Linked DNA regions of Mus musculus. The main gene of each other region encodes a partner of the protein of the gene in region 2 in a complex. Links are inferred from orthologs where the notes say so. Each region holds a gene or a part of one and is shown on either strand. Other genes may lie near its edges.

Region 1 (6,354 bases), on a different chromosome or scaffold from region 2:
ATAGCTGGCTAGCCTCAAAGTTGCTATGAGCTGAAGCTGGCCTTTTAGGGTTGGGATTATAGACACGTACTGCCACCGTTGTTTGCCTTTCCATTTTATGTGAATGAGTGTTTGGTCTACATGTGTATCTGTCCCCAGCAGAGAGTGCTGGATCGATCCCCTGGAACTGGAGTAACAGGCAGTTGGGAGCCCCCATGTGGGTAGTGGGAATTGAACCCAGGTCCTCTGTAGAAGCAGCTCTTAACTCTTGTTTCTCCACCCTTGCTACGGTGTTGCTAGGGTTTAAGTGCCTTAGGCTGGAATTGAACTTAATGTGTAGCTGAGGGTGGCCTGGTACCTCATGTTCCTCTGGCTTCTGCCTCTCCAACACAGAGAATGCAGGCGTGTACGGCCCCAGCTCAGAGCTTCCCTTGACGCTGCCTCTGCTCTTGCGATGAGCTTCCTCCCTTCCTAAGCCCCTGCAGTTCCAGTGTCCAGTTGCGAACACCAGCTCTCCAATGCGACCACCTCCCAAATGTGGGCCACTGATCCCAAGGACATAAGGCAAGGTCCAGAAGGTTGAGCTCCAGGGTAGGAAACAAACAAACAAACAGGAAAAGTCATTGTCCAGGAGACTGAGGACAGGTTTTGGAAACAGATGTTCCAGGTTTGAATACTATCTTGTATTTCTAGCTGTATGACCTCAGCAGTTTTCTCATACATTTAAGGTGGAGACCAGATAGCCTGTGCCATCCATCCTAGCTAGGCATGTACCCTTAGCACAATGTAGCCCAGAGGAAACACAGTGGAAGGCAGCTATTGCTGTGAAGGGAACTTGCATGGTACAAACATGTTCTGCATGCCTAAGCCCTGATCTGGCTACTGTGGACAAGCTGTGGGGACCTTCAAACTAAGAGGAGTATCCTGGTTCTCGTCCCTGGATAGGGAGGTTCTTGCAAGTTGATGTCCAGGATTTGGTCCAAGGGATACTAATTTCCCAGATGCATTATGGGTCCCACTATTCTGGCTCAACTCCACACTATGCAAATGCACAGACACAAGCATTTATCCAAAAAAACCATTTTTTTTTTATTGAGTAGGGTTGGGGACTGAACAGGAATGCACTGGGGGCCATAACCCGATTGGCAGAGGGGTGGGGGTACTGGCTCTTGTCCCGCCTCCTCTCGGGCACCTCAGGGTAAGGCCTGGCCCCCAGGCCATGGCTGTGGCGCTGAAAGCCAGGCTGGAGTGAGAGATGGGGGTGCATTTTACAATCCCGACTGCCTTGTCGGTTTGCAATTCCCCCAAATGGCCACCAGAGGGAAGCCGGGCCTCAGCGCAGAGGAATTCTCGGTTGCTCAGGTGATGGCTTCTTAAAAAAATAAAAAACCAGAGGCTGGTGTGTTCTCCCTGCAAACCCGAGCAGTGCGGGCCTGGGGAGGAGGCTCTGGTTTCTATGATTTCTCTGATAAAAAATAAGCAAAAATAACAAAATACGTGGTTTCTCTTTTTCCATCCCGCCCCCTTCGGAAACTGAGGTCAGAAATGGGGTCATGGAGGCTGAGGATACCCTGATATGAGCTAGATTTCTAGGTGTAGGTCTCTTTTTTCCCCCTTACCACCCATAAGCAAATTTATAAATAAATAAATAATAAATAAATAAATAAACCTTCTCTGTATGTCCACATATATAGAGATAAATCTTTCTCTCATCTAGGCAACTAAGTGATTAACCTCTGACTCTGGAGCTTCGAAATTCAAAAGCGACATGATCAAGGTCAAGTTTCTGGGAAGGAAGATCAAGGACTTGGAATGGTACTGTAAAATTCCCAGCCTTCTGGAACTGCAAACCACTTGGGCTGTGAGACATTTCCGAGTGGGACCCTGACCATCTGGAACATTCTAGAGCCACGCGGTCAGCTGGGGTGGGCCCCCCGCAGGAATCTTGAATAAGATCCTAAAACACCCAACGTCCTAGAACTCCAGAACCAGCTGGGTCTTAAGGGCGTGGAGCTGGGGATTGGAATTAAGCCCTGGTGGACCTAACACTCTGGAGTTCTATAGTAGTCAAAGCCACAGGTTCACCAGGATGAAACTAGACATCACTAGGGGACCGGGACCGGAATGGAATCTTGGAAGTGGAACAGCAGCAGCAGATGGCCCACAGCACCTTCTGCACATCTTGGTTGCGAAAGGCGTAGATGACAGGGTTGATCATGGAGTTGTAGGTGGCTGGGAGCAGGGTAAGATAGGTGTAGAGACGGGGAGAGTCGGCATCTCCCAGGAGGCAGTAGACAGTGAAGGGCAACCAACAGGCAGCAAAGGCGCCAAGCACCACAGCCAATGTGGCGATGCCCTTGCGGGTGGCCACGTAGTGAGAGGCAGGCAGCAGGTGTCGTTGGAGGGCGATCTGCTGGGCATGGCGGCAGACGATGCGGCAGATCTGGGCATAGAGCTGCAACATGATGCCAAACACCATGAAGAAGGCGATGGCCAGAACCACCAGATGGTTCTTGGAGAGTGGATAGACCACACCACACGTGGTCAGGCCATCCCGGCAGTTCCAGGCCAGCACGGGAACCAGCCCCAGGCCCAGGGCACCCACCCACACCAAGGCCAGCATCACATAAGTCCGAGTTACCGTTGTCTCTGAGTAGTAAGTGAGAGCATTGTACAGGGAAAGGTAGCGGTCAACGGTAATGGCCAGCAGGCTGCCGATGCTGGCAGTGAAGGCCATTGCTAGCACGCCGACCAGCATCAAGCTCATCTCTGGTGAGCCAATGCAGAAGTCAGCCGCAAAGTGCAGGACCAGGCCCAGGCCTGCCAGCAGGTCTGCTACGGCCAAGCTACCCACCAGCAGGAACATGGGGGCGCGGAAGGCAGGAGTGCCCACAATGATGGCCACCACCAGCGCGTTCTCGCAGGACACCAGGGTGCCTGAGATGCACAGCACCACATCCCAGGCCCTGGGAGAGGGCAGCAGTGTAGCTGGGCCTGTGGGTTCCTCTACTGGGTCCACGCTGCTCACGTTCACACTGCCTGAGCCAGCTGAGAACCAGGCCATAGAGCTTCCTGCTCCCCACATCATGGTACCTGTAGAAGAAAGGTCCTATGAGATGCTGGCAGGCCCGTATCCTGACAGGAGGCCCTTCGAGAAAAGAAAGCTGTCAGGATAACAGGTAGGGTACGGATGTCCTGCACACCCCACACCCCCAATTCATGTCCTGTGGTTTTTGTCCTCTGATGCCTCCAGGCCTCTAAACAGGGGTCCCTTTTTCTCGGTGATCCCTTTTCTGTGTCCCTTCACCCTCCCCTCCATTCCTCTAAGTCCTGAAGACCTCTTGGCCACACGTGGTCAAAGAAGTGAATCAAAGCTTACCATAAGTGAATAGGGGAAGCACAGGATTCAAGGTGTGCCCTCAATAGGCTCATGAATAGGGGAGGGAAACACGTCAAGAAGAAGAGCAGTCAGCTCCCTCCCACCAGACACGATGACTTGGTTCCTGAAGCTCCCAGACCCCTCACGATTCATGGGCACTGCCAGCCTCAAGCTCCGCCCCCAGGCAAAGCCGGTGCAGCTTCTTGCCAGCCCCCACTCGACATTCCCAGGGTAACACCTGGGAACTCATTTCCCCTACACTCTCCCAGACTTCTGACTCCGGACAGACACCCCACACACACTGCCCCCTTCTTCCTCCTAACCACTGGGTCTCCGTAGCAGACACCCCCTGGTGAAAGCCGGATTCCTGAGTCAGACCCCTCCTTCTGCCCGGACACCTGGATCTTGGGCCTGACTCCGCCTCCTGCCTTGGATAGCCGAAGCCCCAAATAAGACACCACCCGCTACTCGGACGTCTAGGTGCCCGCCCCAGACGCCTCCTGTTCTCCCAACCTCAGATGACCGCCCGTCCCTCTAGGGCCTCAGGTCCCGCAGGAATGCTCACCCTTTGCCGGGTCACCCCATCATACCACTCGAGAGCACCCGAACACTTGGGGAGCTGCCTGCTTATGCAGACTCTGCACATCCAGAGTCCCAGGTACGACCCCCCGACCCTGAGCAGGGGCAAGCAGCCTTCCGCCGGCCCGGCGCCCCTGCACGCTGTGTCCTCCCAGACTCCGGGTACCCGCGGCAGGGCCCACTACTCACCGGTGGCTCAGGACCGGGTGCGGCCGGGCCGCGGGGCGCCTCCACTCAGGTTCTGGCAGAGCAAGGTGTGCGCGGACCCCAAGAAGCCCCCGCGGCCGCGGGAGACGCGGCGTGAGTCACCCCGCCCCGCCCCGCCCCCGGCCACCGGTTTGGTGACGCCAGAAGCCCAGCAGGCCAATGGGCGCTGCGCGCTGGAGCGCAGCGCGTGCTGCGCGGCATAGTAATGAGGCCTCGCGCCGCCCGCTCCCCCATTCATAAAAAGTGACCGTGGCCGCGGCCCCGCCCCCTCCGGAGCCGGCTCTCTGTCCTTGACGCGGCGCCCTCTGCGGGTCGGGGGTTTTGGGGACACTAGTGGGAGAGCCTTAAAAGAGACTCGGGGAGGTCACAGAGGATGTGGGAAGAGGTCAAGGGATTGGGATAGTCTGCGGGGGTGATGAGTACCTTCGGTGGCAGAAACGAGCTGACATAAGACAGGTGATGGAGCGAAATGGGCGTCCCCGGTGAGGATGACAGGCTCTGCCTCTGATAGGGCCCCGAGGCGACGGTGACAGGAGCACGAGGGAGCAGGGAGGTGGGTGGCTGTGACGATATGAGCACGGTGACAGGATCTTGGAGGATGGCGGCTGTGGGACGTTGACGGTAGCGGGGTGTAGGCCTCCTCAGGACAGCCACAGCATTGTCAGGATGACTGCAGCATGATGGAGCTCGGGGACCCTAGGGTAACAGAAGTGGTGACAAGGCTTTGGAGATGAGTGTGCAGGTGAAGGAACTTCAGGTCACTGTGACCCTGTTAAGTGCTATAAAGGACTGAGGTGACGAAGCTAAATGAGAGCTGTGGGGTCCTGAAGTAAAGACCAAATGACTTGTGTGTGGGCCCCAGAGTGAGGGAACAGGGTAGGAAGTCTGACTGGACAGCGACCCAGCAGGTAAGTTGCTGTCAGGACAGGTCCCGTGATGTTGGGGTTGGAATAAGGAGCTGGGTGACGTCACTCATGTGGACCCAATAGCGTCCTCTCTGCATGGGAGGGTGCGCCTGGCAAGATTTCAAAACCTCAATTATTTATTCAAGGATCTGAAAAGCCAGAGCGAGGGCTGGGGGGGGGCGGGGGTGGTCACTTCCCCGAAGCAGCAGGAGATAGGGAGCCGGGAAGAACTTGGAAGCAGAAGGACTCGGCAGCTCCGTGCTCAGAGCAGCCTTCCTGAGCACCGGCTTAGGTACCCCAGGGGGTGGGGCAGAAAGAAAACTTGCTCTTTACTAGACCTGCCTGCGCCATCCCTAGGGAAATGCCCCATCAGATCTAACCCTAGGCACCAGTACTGTCCTTTCTCCCTTTGATCGTCTCTGGAATGTTCAAGACTTTAGGAGGGTGATGGGAGTCAGGGGTCGGATGTCGGTCTGAGGCTGAGGAAAGGAAGGAGGCCAGGAGTCAGGGAATGCGTCATAGCCTCACAGAGATGACAGAGCATGGGCTGGAGACTGGCAGGGTTTGGGCGGGATATGGGGAGTTCAGCTGGTGGAGGAGGTCAGGCCTCCAAGCCTAATCCACGCTTCCGAACCCTGTGACTTTGAGGCCCTGTTAGGCTCTCTGAAGCTGTTTTTTCATGTCTAAACGGCTGGGGACTGCTGGGGGCAGTTGGCCCGTTAGCAGCACGGGGCTGTATATTGGCTGTCAGTGGTGTATCTGGCCAGTAGAGGATGTCAGGGAAACACAGGAGGGCACAAAGAAAATGAAGAGTGGTCACAGGAGGCTCTGCCTTTGTGGGACCAGGCTAGATGGGGCTCTCCTGCTGCAGGCTCCTATGGGCAAGCTCCCTTCAGAACTCTCCTTTTAGCCATTTCATCCATAAATGGGCTTCCTGACCGGTCACAAATGACCGACTAACCTTCCCCTGGCCTTCCCTCCTTGCTTTGTTATCTTCTCAGGTGTGCAGAACTCCTGCAACAAAATACTCTCCCTAGTTCCCTTTTACTGTTTGCTTGGAGTCTGAGGCTGTCCCACTGTAGGATAAGGCATGTGACAATAATGCCTAGGTTTGGTTTGTGCTAGGGACAGTGCCTGATATGTAATTGGTATTCAGTTACTATTATCTGTTGGTTGATGAAACATAACAGGAACAGTCAAGGAGAGGGAAACAAAGGAGGCAGAGGCGCATGCCTTGAATCCCAGCACTCGGGAGGCAGATCTTGTGAGTTTGAAGCCAGTCTTGTCTGCAGAGTGAGTTCCAGG
Region 2 (6,354 bases):
GGGAGGGGACATGAAGAGCTGGGGACATGGAGAGCTGGGGAGTGGGCGGTGGAAGATGAGGGCCTCAAAAGGTACCTATCTGGCTGGCATAACATTTCTTTAATCGTCATCCTAAAAAAAAAAATCTTTATTTTTTTTCATCCTCAACTGATGCATAGAATTTCTTACCTTCAGTCCTCAGCTAAAGCTGCTTGAAAAAAAGATCGACATGCAAACATATACACAGTTCACAAGGCTATCCCCAGCTTCCCATGCAGTGTTCACACATTTAGTATTTATTTATTTTTATTTTTAATTGCAATTAAAATACAAAGGCAAGATTGTACTCCCAACATACAACTCCCAACCTTCTTAAACTAGGCCCTTCCTGCCACGAATTGTAAAAATATAAGTGATTGCCTTACCTCGGGCTCTTCGCTAAGGAGAAAATTATTTTATATATATAGATATATATTTAAATCCAGCCACGCCCACTCCCTTGAAACTAACCCTGTGTGTTTTGAATGTGGCCTTGCCAGCAGGGCTAAGGTACCCCCCCCAAACCTTCCTCCTGCTCTACTCCCCCCCCCCCACAGGTGGATCCAGTATGTGTGTGCATGTGCACAGAATACAAAATACACATGTTTTGAACAACCCCAAAGCCCTGAGTGTCTGGTTTTTCAACCGTTAAGGCGGGAGGGTTTGACATACGTATTGAGAAGTGAGGATATGCTTAGCGCAAAGGGGAAAAGAGAGAGAGAGACATACCGGGAAAAGGTTATGGAGGCCCGCGGCGGCAGGCCCCACTCCCCCCAGTCATCGGCCCAGCAGATTACCCAGGATGCCACGCCACCGTTGCCTGCGCGTTTTCCCTCTGCTCGCTGCAGAGAGTCTGCACACAGGTTATTACAGAGTGTACCAGCACGGAAAGTTTTGGCCGCGCCATGGCGCAAATCACAAGGTAACCTATTTTAGAGTACAAATATAAAATCGGCGGGTACGTTGAAAGTGCCTGGGATGGATACTGGGACACACTGAGCATGTCATGCACAGGCGAACACAGAAAATGGACACCAACACACACCAACAACAAGCTGTCTGAGTCGAAGCAGCCGTGCCAGGCGAGGCGGGGGCGCGCACCCGGATGGCCCTAGCCCACCGCGGTCACGAACAATCGAGCCGGGGGAGCCCCGAAGGGCCCACCCCAGCAGTTCTGGGCTCACCTCACGCCCCCGCCTGTCCAGCCTACGATCGCTGGCGCTGGCGCTGGCCTCCGGCCGGTAACGACCCTCAGTGTCGCTCGGCACCACTTTTCTCCCTGGAGGGCATATAGTTCGGCCACCCGAACTCTCCAAAAGGCCCCTCTCCCACCCCAGGGCAGAGTTGGGGGTCCCTCCCTGGAACTTCTAACAGGGTTTCCGGACCCCCTCCTCCCGCGGGCAAGGCCCAAGCCCCACCGGAAGGCCCTGCCACCCCCTCCCCGGGCGGCCCGGGCGGCCCTACTGCCCAGGGGCAGAAGCTGCCGCATTACCTAGAAGCAGCAGGCGGTGTGTACACATGTAGTCCATCTTCTCCTCCTCCAGTTGCTTGTCGATGAGCTTGCTGCGTTTCTTATCTGCGCGCTTCTGCTCTCGCATCTCAATGGCTTCTTTGCGCATCTGTTTGCGCCTCTCCTCCATAGGATCCTTGGCCTTCCCGGGGCTGAGGGATCGTGATCGGGTACACTCGGATAGACCGAAGCAGCTTCCGAAGGCTCGGGTGAAGAAGTTGCGGACTGGGTTGCTCCCGACCGTGTGGCTCCGGGGCAGGCCAGGGCGGCGGTTTCGCCGCAGAAGCCACTGGAAGCAGCCGGTGGCCCCTTCTTCCGACTCATCACTGGAGGACTCGATCTCGCAGATGCCAGACGATGCCTCGTACCTGCAGCAGCTTCGGCCCCGCTCGTACTTGTCAGGCCAGGCAGTCGGCCGCGGAGGAGGCCGCGGAGTAGGCGGGTCAGCAACCTGGATCTCGGGGCTGGGGGGTCTAAGATGGGCCCTGCTGGGGGCGGCAGAGGCTGACCGGCCAGCAGCGACTGCGCGGGCAGCAGAGGCTGCCCGGGCGGCAGCTGCTGCGCGGGCAGGAAGGGATGCCCGAGCGGCGGGAGTAGCTGAGAGTGACCTGGCTCCCCAGACCAGTGGACCTGCATAGGCTGCCCTAGCGGCAGCTGCCCTAGCAGAGGCTGACATTGCTGGGGCGCCAGGGACTGCTCCAGCGGCCGGATGGGCTCTAGCAGAGGGGACTGCCCGGGTAGTGGGCTCCTTGGGGGTGATAGGGGCTGCCCGGGCGGCAGGCTCCGCCAGGGTGGCAGAGACTGCCGCGGCTGCGGGCTCCACCTGGGTGACAGGGGCTGCCCCGGAGGCAGACTCGGCCGTGGTGGCAGGGACTGCCTCGGAGGCTGGCTCGGCGGCTGGATCTCTGCTGCCTTCAGACTCGGACTCGGCAGGAGTGGCTGGGGCGACTGGGGCTGCCCCTCCGTCAGGATCGGCGCGGACAGCTGGGGCTTCTTCGAGTTCTTCAGGATCCGACTGGAGATCTGAAGGCGTTCCTGGGGCTGTCCCGTCTTCTCCGGCATCGCTCTGGCTATCTGTGAGCATCGCGGAATCCGTAGGAGCTCCAGCATCAGATCCGGTAGAGACGGCTTGGGCAGCAGGGGCTGGCTTGGCATCCATTGCTTCAGGCTGGGTGGAAGATCCGTCCCCTCTCTCCGGAGAGGGGACTTTTCCTTCCACCGCAGTGGCGGTGGTAGGGCTTCCTTCCATCTCGGCTGCTTCTCGCTCAACTGGGGGTCTCTCTGCGCACTCGCTCTTATCTGGGGCTCCCGAGACTTCGATGGGCGGGCCATCACTTGCGATTGGGGGGCTGTCCATATTGACAGCGGTGTCGTCGTCGACCCCAATGGAGGCTCTGCCAATCTCAAGCAGGGGTCTGGTGATCTCCATCGGGGGGCTGTCGCATGCGAAGTTAGGAGGAGATCTGACAGCCTCGCGGAATGGTCTGTCAATGGCGCCTCGGACCCAGAGGGGAGGCGCGTTCTCGGCGGGAGCGAGGCAGAGCGCACTCGGGACCGCGACTGTCGGGAACTCGCCGCCAATGCCGATTTGTGGGATGACTCGCGGGAGTCCTGGGGGTGGGCTATCGCCCCCGAATTCTTCTCCACCGACCTGAAATGGCACAGATTCTTCAGGGGGAGGGCTGTAGTCTTCTCGGAAGCCAGCGTTTTCAAATCTGATGTTCCCGGGCTCCGCGGGAAGAGCTCTGGGGACCAATGCTTCCGGACCTCCTGGCGCAAGGTCTGGGACTTGCAAGGGAGGCTGGCTATGGTCTCCCTGGGCAGGCTCGTTGAACTCAAATGGCATAGCTTCTTCTGGTGGGGGGGTATAGGCTCCCAGGCCTGGGCTCGCGCCAGTGGGGGTCCCGGGCTCCAAAATCGCTGGGTTGAAGGCTTGGAGGCCTGATGGGGTCCCAGATGGTCCTGGCTGCTCCAGGGTGGGCCAGAAATCTCCCAGGCTGGGCTGTTGTGTCTCGAATGGCATGGCTTCCTCCGGAGGTGGGCTGTAGTCTCCACCCACTCGGACTTCCTCGAAGGCCTGGCAGGGGCTTTGGATGTCAGATTTGGAGTCTTCTGGGGGTCCACTGATCTCACTGCCAGTCTCGTCGGGGACGGGCTCATTGTTAGACGGTTCGGAGTCCGGTTCGGTCGCCATTTCTTCGGCTGGGCCAGCCCCAGCACCGGGGGCAGCTGCCCCTGGGGCTTCCAAAGGTTCTTGCTCGGGCTGCTCCCCGACTTCAGGGGGGATATCGTGTTGTCCTGACATATTATTGCCGTGGAGGCAGTTGAACATGCCCATAACACGGTGGCGACTTTTCAAAATAAATTTGGGGCCCCGTAAGACGGAGCACCCAGCCAAACTAGGGTGAAAAAAAATTTTTTTTTAAAAAATTCAAATTTTTGTTGGAAAGTTCTCCAGCCTCAGTTTCCAAACTTTGTAAGGATAGATAATCAGGGGCTAGAACCCAGGACCATGGCTGAAGTGAGTCATCTCTTGCTGGTGAAGTCTGTCACCTTCCTAGTTACACTTACCCCTTCGGGCTGTGGTCGGCCAACAACTTTAGGAACTTTTCTGTTCTCTCTTCGTACTTTGCTGTACTTTAGCTCCGCCTTCTTGGCATTTAAGAGCGTGCCGATTCGTCTCGAAAATCGTAAATAGAACTCTTTCTCTGCCGCCAGAGGACGCAGGTCTCAGTGCTGAGCCGGCTCCGGGAGCTGGCTCCCGGTGCCGGCTGCTCCCGACTTTGGGTAAGGGGGCTGATGAGCGGAGGCCTTGTAGGGACGTTCGGCTCCGTCCTCTCCTCTCCCGGACTGATTCCGAGTCTCTCTAGCTCGCTTTTTCCCTGGCCAGAGAGCGAGCGAGCTCTCTTGCGTTGCTGGGACACGTGACGCAAGACGTGGGCATTGGTCTGTTAGAGTACAGACGCTGAAAGCCTCCCTCCCCATCTGATTCTTCTCGAGGGGAGGAGGGACTGCAGGAGGGCTTTATCACCCCAGATTACCCCAGTATGCGGTAAATTCCTTATCTAAGGACCCCACACTCAGGCAATTACCCATACTCATCTCCAAGTCAGGAAATGGAGGCTTTAGGATACAAGGAAAGGGGTAGAGGCACACACACACACAAATGCGACAGGTGGTCGTGAGCCCACCGGAAGGGTAGAGACAGGGTGAGGAAGTGCCGAATGTAAACACGCAATTTGTTTCGTAAATGCTCTAGGGTACTTTTCTTTATTTCTTTTTTTTCCTTTTTTTTTCTTTTTTTAATGTTTATGTTTGCTGTTTGTTGGGGATGGCTCCAGCAAATCCCTTCAATGTCCCCCATCCCCATTACACCTCGGAGCTCTCAACAGTGGTATAGTGTGTTGTAGTCAGGGCTTGCTCTGTTTATATGGACGGTGATGCAGTAGAAATAAAGGTCTCAGCAGTGCACTGCAGAAAATCAAGCAAAGCCCCCTTAGGAGTTATTCATGTTTGCCGCTTTCGTGCAAATAGGGGAGGGGGCTTAAGGCTTACCGGAAGACCCCCCACCTAGCTCAGGTCTTGTACTTCTGTCTTCTGGGTAAAGGCAAAAGGAGATTTGGGGTGTAGTTGATGGCCCATTTAGGGTGGTCTCGCAGACTAGAAAACCTGAAATGCACTTAACCCACCGACCAACCGTGCCATGGTGGCAACAGCTGCCGAGACTCGCATCTTCCAGCCACCAGCGCCAGCTGCGGATTCCGTGTTCATTTCCTCTCTCAAGCCCTTCTCCAGCCCCCTTTTATCCCCTCCTCCTTCTGTTGTGAGCACCATAGAGCATTTGCTATACGTTGAACTGCAACAGTCCACCCAGGCGAAATTAAGCGCGGTCACAAAGCCTGCGGCTGCGCGCCCCTTGCGGTGCCGGGGTGGGCTCAGAGCTGCAGGAGTTTATACAGTCACATTGCCCGGTGGGCTCAGCGAATAATCATAAAATGCTTTAGGTCTGGGATCTGCAGATTATTCCTGGGCAGGGTTTTTTTGTTAATTGTTTGCCTTTGGGGTTCTGTTTTTTTTTGTTTTGCCGCGCGCCCGCGGCACGCGCACACCGCGGACATTTTGCCAGTAGGTAATGGCGATGGCGCGAGGCATTGTCTTTTGTTGCAATACAGCTAGGCAGTGGGCAGGTCTGGCCTGCAGGACCCTGAGAAAAGAGAGTATGAAGTGGTACATAAAGCAGGCTGCGGCAATTATGCACCATGCAGATGGGTATATTGCAAGATGCATGCTGTGTGCCGCGGCAGATTTAATTCTCTGAAGTCTAACATGTCCCTCTTCTCACTACAGGCTCGGCACACTACAGCCCCTTGCCTACAGCGTCCACGTGGTCACCCTGAGTAGAAGAAAGCAGACAAAGTGAACCCCCAGAGAATGCCTGCGACCTGCCGAAGGCGTGTCACCTCAACTCTACGGCTGAACACACTGCATGCCGGACACTTTGAACTTTGGTCCAAAGTTTGGCCAACTACCCTCCCCCACATATACACACACACACACTCAAAATGGCGAAACGGTTTGAACATACACCGAATAGGCCAACTGGGTCTCAACCACTAGCCCACTCCCCTCCGACCCCAGCGACAGGTCAGCTATTGGGCTGGGGTCACGCCAATCAAGGATGCCTGGCGAATGAGCAGGGGGCTTCGGACCGGAAACCGGATATGGGTGGGAGGTCCAATAGGGGGCGCCGCGTTGGAACGCCCAAAGAGGTTGTGCTTGCTGGGTTGGTTGGAAGCGGTTGGCGGGCGGGCGTATGGCGGCCAGGC

What was found. The genes of interacting proteins can lie anywhere in the genome.
Region 1: the proteins of Gnas (region 2) and Gpr3 are in contact, whole or in part, in a cryo-EM structure (PDB 9LYB), measured with the Homo sapiens proteins. The link is inferred for Mus musculus from reciprocal best matches to the Homo sapiens genes GNAS and GPR3. Residues at the interface, in NP_000507.1 of Homo sapiens: Gln35, Arg38, Ala39, His41, Val217, Phe219, Asp323, Asp343, Leu346, Thr350, Tyr358, Cys359, Phe376, Cys379, Arg380, Asp381, Ile383, Gln384, Arg385, Met386, His387, Leu388, Gln390, Tyr391, Glu392, Leu393, Leu394; in NP_005272.1 of Homo sapiens: Met75, Arg134, Ser137, Leu138, Tyr139, Ala141, Leu142, Tyr144, Tyr145, Glu147, Ile216, Ile219, Val220, Arg222, His223, Gln226, Ile227, Leu229, Gln230, Arg231, His232, Lys244, Gly245, Thr248, Arg300.

What each region holds. Positions count from the first base shown.
Region 1 is NC_000070.6:133,208,293-133,214,646, forward strand, and holds Gpr3 (G-protein coupled receptor 3), read right to left. Parts: upstream 4,245-6,354; 5' UTR 4,127-4,244; intron 3,073-4,126; 5' UTR 3,068-3,072; coding exon 2,075-3,067; 3' UTR 1,048-2,074; downstream 1-1,047. UniProt on the Homo sapiens protein: Constitutively active G-protein coupled receptor that maintains high 3'-5'-cyclic adenosine monophosphate (cAMP) levels that a plays a role in serveral processes including meiotic arrest in oocytes or neuronal development via activation of numerous intracellular signaling pathways.
Region 2 is NC_000068.7:174,295,374-174,301,727, reverse strand, and holds the start of Gnas (protein GNAS), read right to left. Parts: upstream 3,870-6,354; 5' UTR 3,867-3,869; coding exon 1,511-3,866; intron 1,298-1,510; coding exon of another isoform or gene 1,023-1,297; exon of another isoform or gene 169-1,022; intron 1-168. UniProt on the Homo sapiens protein: Guanine nucleotide-binding proteins (G proteins) function as transducers in numerous signaling pathways controlled by G protein-coupled receptors (GPCRs).